Linked DNA regions of Macaca fascicularis. The protein of the gene in region 1 purifies or fractionates together with the protein of each later gene. This does not show direct contact. Links are inferred from orthologs where the notes say so. Each region holds a gene or a part of one and is shown in the gene's direction. Other genes may lie near its edges.

The links.
Region 2: the proteins of DHX15 (region 1) and SF3A3 fractionate together in Homo sapiens (co-fractionation; 3 studies listed by BioGRID and IntAct, with this or other methods). This does not show direct contact. The link is inferred for Macaca fascicularis from reciprocal best matches to the Homo sapiens genes DHX15 and SF3A3.

The regions. Positions count from the first base shown.
Region 1 is NC_088379.1:23,642,582-23,647,523, reverse strand, and holds the end of DHX15 (ATP-dependent RNA helicase DHX15), read left to right. Parts: intron 1-1,443; coding exon 1,444-1,613; intron 1,614-3,143; coding exon 3,144-3,261; 3' UTR 3,262-3,710; downstream 3,711-4,942.
Region 2 is NC_088375.1:196,928,267-196,933,920, forward strand, and holds part of SF3A3 (splicing factor 3A subunit 3), read left to right. Parts: intron 1-278; coding exon 279-331; intron 332-433; coding exon 434-539; intron 540-3,644; coding exon 3,645-3,717; intron 3,718-4,165; coding exon 4,166-4,257; intron 4,258-5,654. UniProt on the Homo sapiens protein: Component of the 17S U2 SnRNP complex of the spliceosome, a large ribonucleoprotein complex that removes introns from transcribed pre-mRNAs.

The DNA.
Region 1 (4,942 bases):
TCCTCCTACCTTGACCTCCCAAAGTGCTGGGATTACAGACATGAGCCACCAGGCCTGGCTTGACATGTTCTTAAATTTGCTTTTTATATTCAAAAAAAATTGATGAAATTATATTCAAGCATTATACTTCTTAATTATGTAGATTAAAATTTGGTACAAACAGCTGGGCACCACAGAGTGTGCTTGCTAGTAGTGCTTCTCTAGTAGTCCTCGCTACTAGAAAAGTTGAGTAGGGAGCAAGGAGCGTTGAAGCCAGCCCAGGCAACATAGCAAAACCCTAGCTCTTAAAAACAACAAAAAATTTATTAGAAACAACATGCATTGTAATACCTGACACCTAATAGGTGTTTAGTAAATATTTTGAATGAAATTGAGTTTCTTTTCCATTATTCATGTTCATTCTTTATGCACAGAATATTAGAATTGGAAAGGGAGAACTTGTCAATTTTGATGAGTATCACCAGTCAAGGCGTTACCAAAAAAAAAGAAATGAAAGAGAAGCACGTGCAGGCTCTTTTTTTTTCATTTTTATTTTCCTGTCTTTGTAGGTTACCTTTTTCTTTTCCTCTTTGCCCTCTTTAGTTTTCTACCTTATTTTTTATTTATTTATTTTCTTTTTTGAGATGGAACCTCTCGCTCTGTCACCAGGGCTGGAGTGCAGTGATGTGATCTCAGCTCACTGCAACCTCCGCCTCCTGGGTTCAGGTGATTCTCCTGCCTCAGCTCCTGAGTAACTGGGATACAGGCACCCGCCACCACGCCTGGCTAATTTTTGTATTTTTAGTAGAGATGAGGTTTCACCATGTTGGCCAGGCTGGGCTAGAACTCCTGACCTCAGGTGATCCTCCTGTCTCGGCCTCCCAAAGTGCTGGGATTACAAGCATGAGCCACCACACCCGGCTTTAGTTTTCTACCTTAGACATGAATGTTCTGGTAATTGTTTGTCTACTCATAGTTGGCGCCCAGTGCTGAAGAGCCCGCTCTTGATGGTCTAAGGCAGGAAAGATCAGATAATAATGTTGGGCTCTGTGGACCCGTGAGATCCCTGTCAGAACTACCTAACGCTGCCTGCCCTTGGAGCATAATAGGTATAGACAAATGGGTATGACTGCGTTCTAATAAAACTTCCCTTATGAACACTGAAGCTTGAATTTTACATGCTACTCATGCTTCACGGGATGTTTTTTGTATGATATTTTTTCTTTCTAATTAAAGATGTATAAACCATTTTGGATTCACAGACCTTACAAATAGAGGCTGTGAGTTGGATTTGGCCCACAGGTGGCAGTTTGCTTATCTCTGCTTTTATAAGACAGTGATAAAAATGTATAGCCATAGAACGAAAAGTAAAAGGGAGGCCTGCCTTTTCCTAACTATATAGGTAGCTTTACAACTAGTATGTCAGAAGCATTGTGTTAATAATGTACTGGGTTTTTGTTTTAGGTGGCACATTTAGAACGAACAGGGCATTACTTAACTGTGAAAGATAACCAGGTGGTTCAGTTGCATCCCTCTACTGTTCTTGACCACAAACCTGAATGGGTGCTTTATAATGAGTTTGTTCTAACAACAAAGAATTACATCCGGACATGTACAGATATCAAGCCAGAATGGTAAGTACACCTTTTGTTCTAATAGTTTTTTGTTAATACTTCACTCAAAATGGAACCCGACTGTTGCTAGAGTCATGGCCTTGCATTCACTCATTGAGGATTTATATTTCATTGTGTAGGTATGAGGGTATTGACTGGATGGTGTGGTTAATCTTTCACACCCTTCTTTTGATAAGTGGAAAGTGGGATTGTTGATACTTATGGGCAGGATTTGAAGCCAAATGTAAAGTTACATTTGAATAGCATGAAAAGTTTCTTTAGGGGCTGGGCATGGTGGCTCACACCTGTAATCCCAGGACTCTAGGAGGCCGGGGTGGGAGGATCACTTGAAACCAGGGGTTCAAGATCAGCCTGTGCAATATAGCCAGACCCCATCTCTACTAAAATATATATAGGTGTGTACAAAAATTTGCTGGGCATGGTGGTGCTGCACACCTGTAGTCCCAGCTACTGGGGAGGCTGAGGCAGGAGGATTGCTTGAGCCCGGGAGTTTGAGGTTGCAGTGAGCTGTGATCATGCCACTGTACTCCAGCCTGGGTGACAGACCCTATCTCTCAAAAATACTTTTAAAAAGGGTTTAAAAAAATTTTTTTTTTAAAAGAGTTTCTTTGGAGCCATTCTTTTGCTGTTGTGATTAACTCAAGTCAGTACTGTTTCTTGCAGAAATTTTTTTTTTTTACATTTTATTTCTCCCATTACAATTAGCTCTCAACTGTTTGTTATTTATATATTGGTTTTTAGGAATTGTGCAGGCATAAAAATGATAACTCTTTGTGTTTTAACATACTAGCTTTTACAAAATGTAGAGTGAGAACTGATTGTTTTATTTTAAGCAAAATAACCCTCACCTTCATGGTTTTTTTTATTTATGCCAGAATCTGTTCTATAACCTATGATAGGAAATGTCAGCCAAAAGTAGTGGGGCTGAAGGCATGTATTCTAGTTGCTGTCACCGCTTTATATTGTATGACTGCTTTCTTATACAGATTTGGGACTTCTGACACTTAAATTGTGTAGGACATTACCATTTTATCTGAAATGCTTTGTTGAGAAAAAAATTGTATAGCTAAACTTTATAAAATATTTCAGTCAGGTGTATTTTGGGGGTATAGAGTTACAGTTATTTAAAAAAAAATTGGAAATGAGAAGATCCAATCATTTGAATACCACGATGTTTCCTACACAGAACCTGTTACTATATCCTTGGAGCTGCAAGTTAATAGTGTGCCAGAGTAAAGAAATCAGTGACTTTATCTGTTATCCTTACATTAATGTATCTTGAGGGGTTTTTTTGTTTGTTTGTTTATGGTAAGTTCAACATCAAAAAATTTACATCTTACTAAATAAAATACTTAACACATTTCTAAAAGTGCCATTTGTAAGGATTAGTTATTTGTATTTTTATGAGACTTGAATTCATAGATTTGCCTTGGTTCATCAGTATATTAATGAATAATGCCTATCCTATTAACAACTCCAGTATTTCAATTAAATGTTAATTTGAAAATTTTTCTCCCCCTTTCTAAACAGGTTGGTGAAAATTGCCCCTCAATATTATGACATGAGCAATTTCCCACAGTGTGAAGCAAAAAGACAGTTGGACCGCATCATTGCCAAACTTCAATCCAAGGAATATTCACAGTACTGAATTCAGTGCTTAGAACTGAAGTTATTGAGAGGACAGCTTTAAAAGATGAATGAACTCAAAAGTTCGAGTTGTGCTCTTCACGTTGGTTCGATAATGGCCTTTATTTGAAAGCTTTTTAATTTTTCTTTACAGTAAATATTCCATTCTGATTTCATAAATTAAACATTTATGCCTCCCTTTTGTGTTGACACTGTAGCTCATACTGGAAAAGTCGATCAATGTTTTGCAGTTTATTGAAAGTAGTTCTATATATAACAATGTTATAAGCATTTCTTTAGAAATGGTTGAAAATGCTTCTAAAATGTGATTATCGACCATGGTATGCATGATCGTTGTAATTGTTGACATTCCTTTTAGAAGTTGTGAAATGTTACAACTTGTGCTTATGTAGACACAATCTTCTGTCTCAGTACAGAGGCACTGACTTCAATAAAGTCTATTTATACTAATTTTGGCCAAAGCCCTTTGGTATCTTTGTTCTAGTCTCTAAGTATAGCTGTTTTTCTTTTCAAGTGTGGAGCTTTTTTATTATTATAATTATACTCTTACTACATATTTAATGTCTTTCTACAAGGAGTACTCCTTCGGAAAAGTAGCTGTTAAAGCAATGTTTTTAAGAGCATGGCTTAGCGCTTTGTTAGGTTAATCAGGATGTGATCGATCTAAAAGGAGTAAAGTGTGTGTAGTGATATTTGAAATTGGACCCCAAAAGACAGAACAATGAAAGGAGAGCTCTCTACTTGTCTTAGAGTTCCTTTCATAAGGTTCATAATTTATTATCTTAACTACATTTTTGTCAGATGTTTTTATTATACTTCTAGCTTCTCAAACATATTTATGTTAGGTAAGAGGGAAGCGTATTTTACATCTGTTTTACAAAATTCTTACAGTGTGTTAAAATGTACATTTGACCTTCCATTTTCTGTGATAGGCAGTAGACAAGTTGAACACTTGTCTACATTCATTTTGGAATGAAAATTGAGGTGTTTTATGTGGCCCATAAAATGTTTTTTAATCAATTATTTTCATGTGAAGACTACTGTACTCATTAATGTCTGGACTTCCTCTTCTTCCCATCCTACCTTTATAAGTTTTTAAGCATTAAAGGAAATATATAGATGTGTGCCTGGCATTTAAATATACTTGGTAACTAGCATGTGACTTAGGGAGTTGGGCAAGTTAACTCTTTGAAGCTAACAAGTATGCTTTTTAGTGTAGGTAGGTGTTACTAAATGATGCCTAGTGGCTTGAAAAAGTTAATGTGCCTTGTATAAGTGCCTCATTTTGTTCCCATGGAATAATTTACATGGTATAATAATACTTCAGGTTATATTTAAATATTAAATGTTAGATATTTATGCAACAGCATTTTGAAATGGTTAGATATTCATGCAACATTAAGCATTGGCAACATTGTCTGCCAGAATCTCTTAAAGTTATGTTGAAAAAAATCTAAGCACTTGGTCAGACTGTTCTCACTGAAATGGCAGCTCTCACCAGAAGAATATTTTGCCTGTTAATTTAAGCTGCAAGTGTAGTTTGTGAGGAGTTGTGTATCTTTATAATCTGACCATCTAATTTTAAGTAGGTCTCAGAGTGGTGTAACGTATTATTTAATCTTGGGCTGTGTAAAATGTGAAGTTAGACCATTAGGTTTTGTTACAGAGAAACTGTTAAGTGT
Region 2 (5,654 bases), on another chromosome or scaffold:
TATGTAAAAATAGGAGCCACCCCTTAAATGTTATCATTTAGGTAATCTTCCAATCGACCTGCTTAAAAAACTAACCAGGAATCAGGGCTGTTAAAGGGCTATTGAAAAACTAACCAGCAAACAGGGCTATTAAAGGTACTAGGAAGCACAGAACTGTTAAGACCATGTCCATATCTCTTGAGATTGCCCTGGGCTTTGACTGGAGAGCCCTTGTTGTTTGCTTAGCTCTACATTTGTGCAAATTGCCTCATTCTGATGGTTTTGTATTTGCCTTTCAGAGGTATATGGAGGTCAGTGGGAACCTGAGGGATTTGTATGATGATAAGGATGGGTAAGTGACAGTCACAGCTAATCTAGGAGTTAGTGCTTCTGAGGAGCCATGGTTAGAGGACTGACTTTGTGCTCTATCTTTGAAATTTTCCTGAAATTGCAGATTACGAAAGGAGGAGCTCAATGCCATTTCAGGACCCAATGAGTTTGCTGAATTCTATAATAGACTCAAGCAAATAAAGGAATTCCACCGGAAGCACCCAAATGAGGTATGTCCTCCGAAAAGTATTTTCTCCAGACCTATCTTTAAAGCATATAAAGGAAAGTATAAAGGAAACTGGACATGTGCTATTCAAATGCACTTCAAGAAAGAACTTGCCATTTAGGTGCAAGGACCATAGTTAGCTGACATCCTACAACTGCAGTGTTTTCAGCATCTCCCTCAGCTTTGAAGCCAAGGCTGGCCGGGTGCGGTGGCTCACACCTGTAATCCCAGCACTGTGGGAGGCTGAGGTCGGCGGATCACCTGAGGTCAGGAGTTCGAGACCAGCCTGACGAACATAGTGAAACCCCATCTCTACTAAAAATGCAAAAATTAGCTAGGCATGGTGGCATGCGCCTATAATCCCAGCTACTTGGGAGGCTGAGGCAAGAGAATCACTTGAACCCGGGAGGCGGAGGTTGCAGTGAGCCGAGATTGCGCCATTGCACACCATCCTGAGGGACAAGAGTGAGACTTCATCTCAAAAAAAAGCCAAGGCCACATTTCGTGGGCAGCTCCTGGCCAGTGACTAAGCACAGTATGGGTACTAGGGCCCAGCAATTTGGTCCACTGTGAGACTCCTCTGATGAGTTATCTTTGCTCCACGGCTCCCCATTGGGTGGGTCAAGATTTTGTCCAATCTGCATTGTGGTCTAGGCTATCCTGGCCTAATCCTGCTTTCTCCTCCTTTTTGTCTTTCACAGAAATTACTCCCCCCAATAAATTATGCTCCTAACTCTGTCTTTTTTTTTTTTTTTTTTGAGATGGAATCTCACTCTGTCACCCAGGCTGGAGTGCAGTGGCACGATTTCGGCTCTCTGCAAACTCCACCTCCCGAGTTCACGCCATTCTCCTGCCTCAGCCTCCTGAGTAGCTGGGACTACAGGTGCCCGCCACCACGCCCGGCTAATTTTGTGTATTTTTTAGTAGACACAGGGTTTCACCATGTTAGCCAGGATAGTCTCGATCTGCTGACCTCATAATCCACCCACCTCGGCCTCCCAAAGTGCTGGGATTACAGGCGTGAGCCACCGGGCCTAGCCCTCATATACCCTGGAGCTCACTTATAATAAGGTAGTTAAGAGAAAAAGGGCCTGGGAAGGCTTCCATCAGAAAGGTCACATGACCACTCCAGGTGGTGTTGCCTTAACAGAAGTTAAGCAAAAGAGAGTTTCAGAAAGGCAGTCATGGTGTCAACTTATTGATTGATAACTGCCAGGATTGCTGTTTCATTAAAGTAGTAGGAATGGAAATCTGGTCACAAGGTAAAGATGGGTAATGGGGAAATATAAGTATGGAGTATGGAACATGCATTTGAAAGGCTGGTAGCAGCCGGGTTCAGTGGCTCACACCTGTAATTCCAGCACTTTGGGAGGCTGAGGCAGGTGGATCACGAAGTCAAGAGTTTGAGACCAGCCTGGCCAACGTGGTGAAACCCGTCTCTACTAAAAACACAAAAATTAGCTGGGCTTGGTGGTGCACGCCTGTGATCCCAGCTTCTTGTGGGGCTGAGGCAGGAGAATCGCTTGAACCCAGGACATGGAGGTTGCAGTGAGCTGAGATCACTCTGCTGCACTCCAGCCTGGGCAACAGAGCAAGACTCCGTCAAAAAAAAAAAAAAATCTGGTAGGAAAAAGAAGGGGAGAAACAGGAGGGTATTGGGGAAGATAAAGAAGCATACTTATGGCCAGGCGCAGTGGCTCAAGCCTGTAATCCCAGCACTTTGGGAGGCTGAGACGGGCGGATCATGAGGTCAGGAGATCGAGACCATCCTGCCTAACCCGGTGAAACCCCGCCTCTACTAAAAAATACAAAAAACTAGCCAGGCGAGGTGGCGGGTGCCTGTAGTCCCAGCTACTCGGGAGGCTGAGGCACGAGAATGGCGTAAACCCGGGAGGCGGAGCTTGCAGTGAGCTGAGATCCAGCCACTGCACTCCAGCCTGGGGGACAGAGCGAGACTCCGTCTCAAAAAAAAAAAAAAAAAAAAAAAAAAAGAAGCAGCTTACTTATTTGAAGGAGCACAGGGAAAAAGGAAGAGATTAAAAACAGCAAAAAAATAGAGGCTGTTTATTGCAGTACATAGTGTGGGGGTAAACGAAGGGATCCTCACACACATAGCCCCCTTGGAGGATGGAGAGTGAGGTCTTCTGCTAACCAAGAGAGAATAAATGAATACCATTCTGATGTGTTCACCTTATTCCAGCCATGGTCAAAAGGTAACGAGGAATAAATGCTTAAATAACTGGTTAGAAGGATGCCCAAGATATACTAAGTGTCAGAAGCAAGTCTTTTATGCTAAAAAAAAATAATAAAAACGTATGCAGGCATGAATGTACTAGTACAAATACATATATTTAAATATATAGAGCACTGTTTTCCAAACTTTCTGCATATTTGAGCCACCTGGGGATCTTTAAAATGTACTGATACCTGCCTTCCTTTGATTTAATTGGTATCAGGTGCATCAGAATTAAAAAAAAAAAAACTCCCCGAGTGATTCTAATATGCAGCAAAGTTTGGGAACCACTGGCATAGGAAAAGCTCTGTTAACAGTGGTTACCTGTTCTCAGGAGAATTAATAAAGGTGGACTTTTGAGGTTTTGTGAGCATGTGTTACTTTAGTGAGTTTTACTCAAACAATACAAAAAAGCGGGGAAAAACAAGGTAATTGGAGAACAGTAGTAGCTTCCTAGTGAAAAATCAAGGCCAGATCATCAGAAGTCCAACTTTCTGTGTATTTCATTTCTGTGATCTTGCAACTTTTACATTGAAAAATCCACCTAAGGTCGGGCACAGTGGTTCATGCCTGTAATCCCAGCACTTTAGGAGGCCAAGCTGGGCAGATCACTTTAGCTTAGGAGTTTAAGACCAGCCTGGGCAACATGGCAAAACCCTGTCTCCACTAAAAATATAAGAATTAGCCAAGCATGGTGGTGCGTGCCTGTAGTCCCAGCTACTCGGGTGGCCAAAGCAGGAGAATCGCTTGAACCTGGGAAGTAGAGGTTGCAGTGAGCCAAGATTGTGCCAGTGCACTCCAGCCTGGGCAACAGAGCAGAGTCCGTCTCAAAAACAAATAAGAAAAATCCACCTGAGCTTTTACTTTTCCCCTCAGATCTGTGTGCCAATGTCAGTGGAATTTGAGGAGCTCCTGAAGGCTCGAGAGAATCCGAGTGAAGAGGCACAAAGTAAGTAGAGGTGAAAATTTCATTCGGCACCAGCAAAAGTACAGGTTAATTACAGCTCAGATTTGCAGCCATGGCCTCAGATATATTTATAGCCAGGATTTCTTGCTGGTTTCGTCTTTGCTGGTTTCTGGGCTAGAGTGACATCCTAAATTGGTCTTGGGCGCACAATGTTCATTTTGTTCTCTCCTACCTCAAATTTACTGGCTTGGAAAGCCAAGGATTGTTCACTTTAGGTCACGATACTAAAATGAGTCAGCCCTTGTTACCTTGTAAGAGAACACTCACTTTTGATCTCACTTAACTTATTGGAGGTTATATTGTGAGCAAAGGGAGGACATTTGGGTGAAGTGCTGCCTCAGGAAACTAGGAACAAGCAGTCCATTTGAAAAGGTAAGTCCAAGAGAGTGGTGTGTATAAACTGAATCATTGATGTATCTGATTCCCTCAGACTTGGTGGAGTTCACAGATGAAGAGGGATATGGTCGTTATCTCGATCTCCATGACTGTTACCTGAAGTACATTAACCTGAAGGCATCTGAGGTAAGACCTGGGAAAGGGCAGAGAGGTTCTGATTCTCGAAGTGAGTCAGGACACTAGACTGGAACTAGTAGACATAGACATGAAGCCATTGTAAAATGTCTTCCTTGTGTTTTAAAACTGTTATGTAAATATTAAAGAGGTGATACGCTTTCTTGGAATGAAATACTATTCAAAATGAAGTTTTCTACAGTGAAAACAAGCATATTTATTTATTAATAAATTTTATTTTTTTATTTTTGAGATGAGGTCTTACCATGGTGTGATCGTTGCTCACTGCAACCTCGACTTCTGGGCTCAAGTGATCCTCCCGCCTTAGCCTTCTGAGTAGTTGAGGATACAGGTGCATACCACCACCACACTTGGCTAATTTTTGTATTTTTTGTAAAGATGGGGTCTTGCAGTGTTGCCCAGGCTGGCCACAAACTCTTCACCTCAAGTGATCCTCCTGTCTCAGCCTCCCACGGTGTTGGGATTACAGGCATGAGCCACTGTACCCAGCCCATTATCAATACAACAAGCGTATTTTACCTTTGCCAAAATAAATCTTTTTTTTTTTTTTTTTTTTTTTTTTTTTTGAGACAGGGTCTCATTTTGTCACCCAGGCTGGAGTGCAGTGGCGTGATCTTGGCTCGCTGTATCCTAGACCTCCTGGACTCAAGTGATGGATCCCGCCTCAGCCCCACCAAGTACTTGGGACTACAGGCGTGTGCCACCATGCCCAGCTAGTTTTTTGTATTTTGTGTAGAGATTGAGTTTTGCCCTGTTGCCAAGGCTGGTCTCAAACTCCTGAGCTCAAGCAATCCGCCTGCCTTGGCCTCACAAAGTGTTGGGATTATAGACGTGAGCCATTGCACCCAGCCTTACATAAGATTTCTTTAAATTTTTTTTTTTTTTTTAAATAAATACCATTTTCCTGGCTGGACACAGCCACTCACGCCTGTAATCCCAGCACTTTGGGAGACCAAGGCAGGCAGATCACCTGGGGTCGGGAGTTCAAGACCAGCCTGACCAACGTGGAGAAACCCTGTCTCTACTAAAAATACAAAATTAGCTGGGCATGGTGGCACATGCCTGTAATCCTAGCTACTCAGGAGGCTGAGGCAGGAGAATCACTTGAACCCAGGAGGCGGAGGTTGCGGTGAGCCGAGATTGCGCCATTGCACTCCAGCCTGAGCAACAAGAGCAAAACTCCATCCAAAAAAAAAAATTTTTTTTGTAGAAATAGGGTTTCACTGGCTGGGCGCGGTGGCTCACACCTGTAATCCCAGCACTTTGGGAGGCCGAGGTGGGCGGATCACGAGGTCAGGAGTTGGAGACCATCCTGGCTAACATGGTGAAACCCCGTCTCTACTAAAACTACAAAAAATTAGCTGGGCGTGGTGGTGGGCGCCTGTACT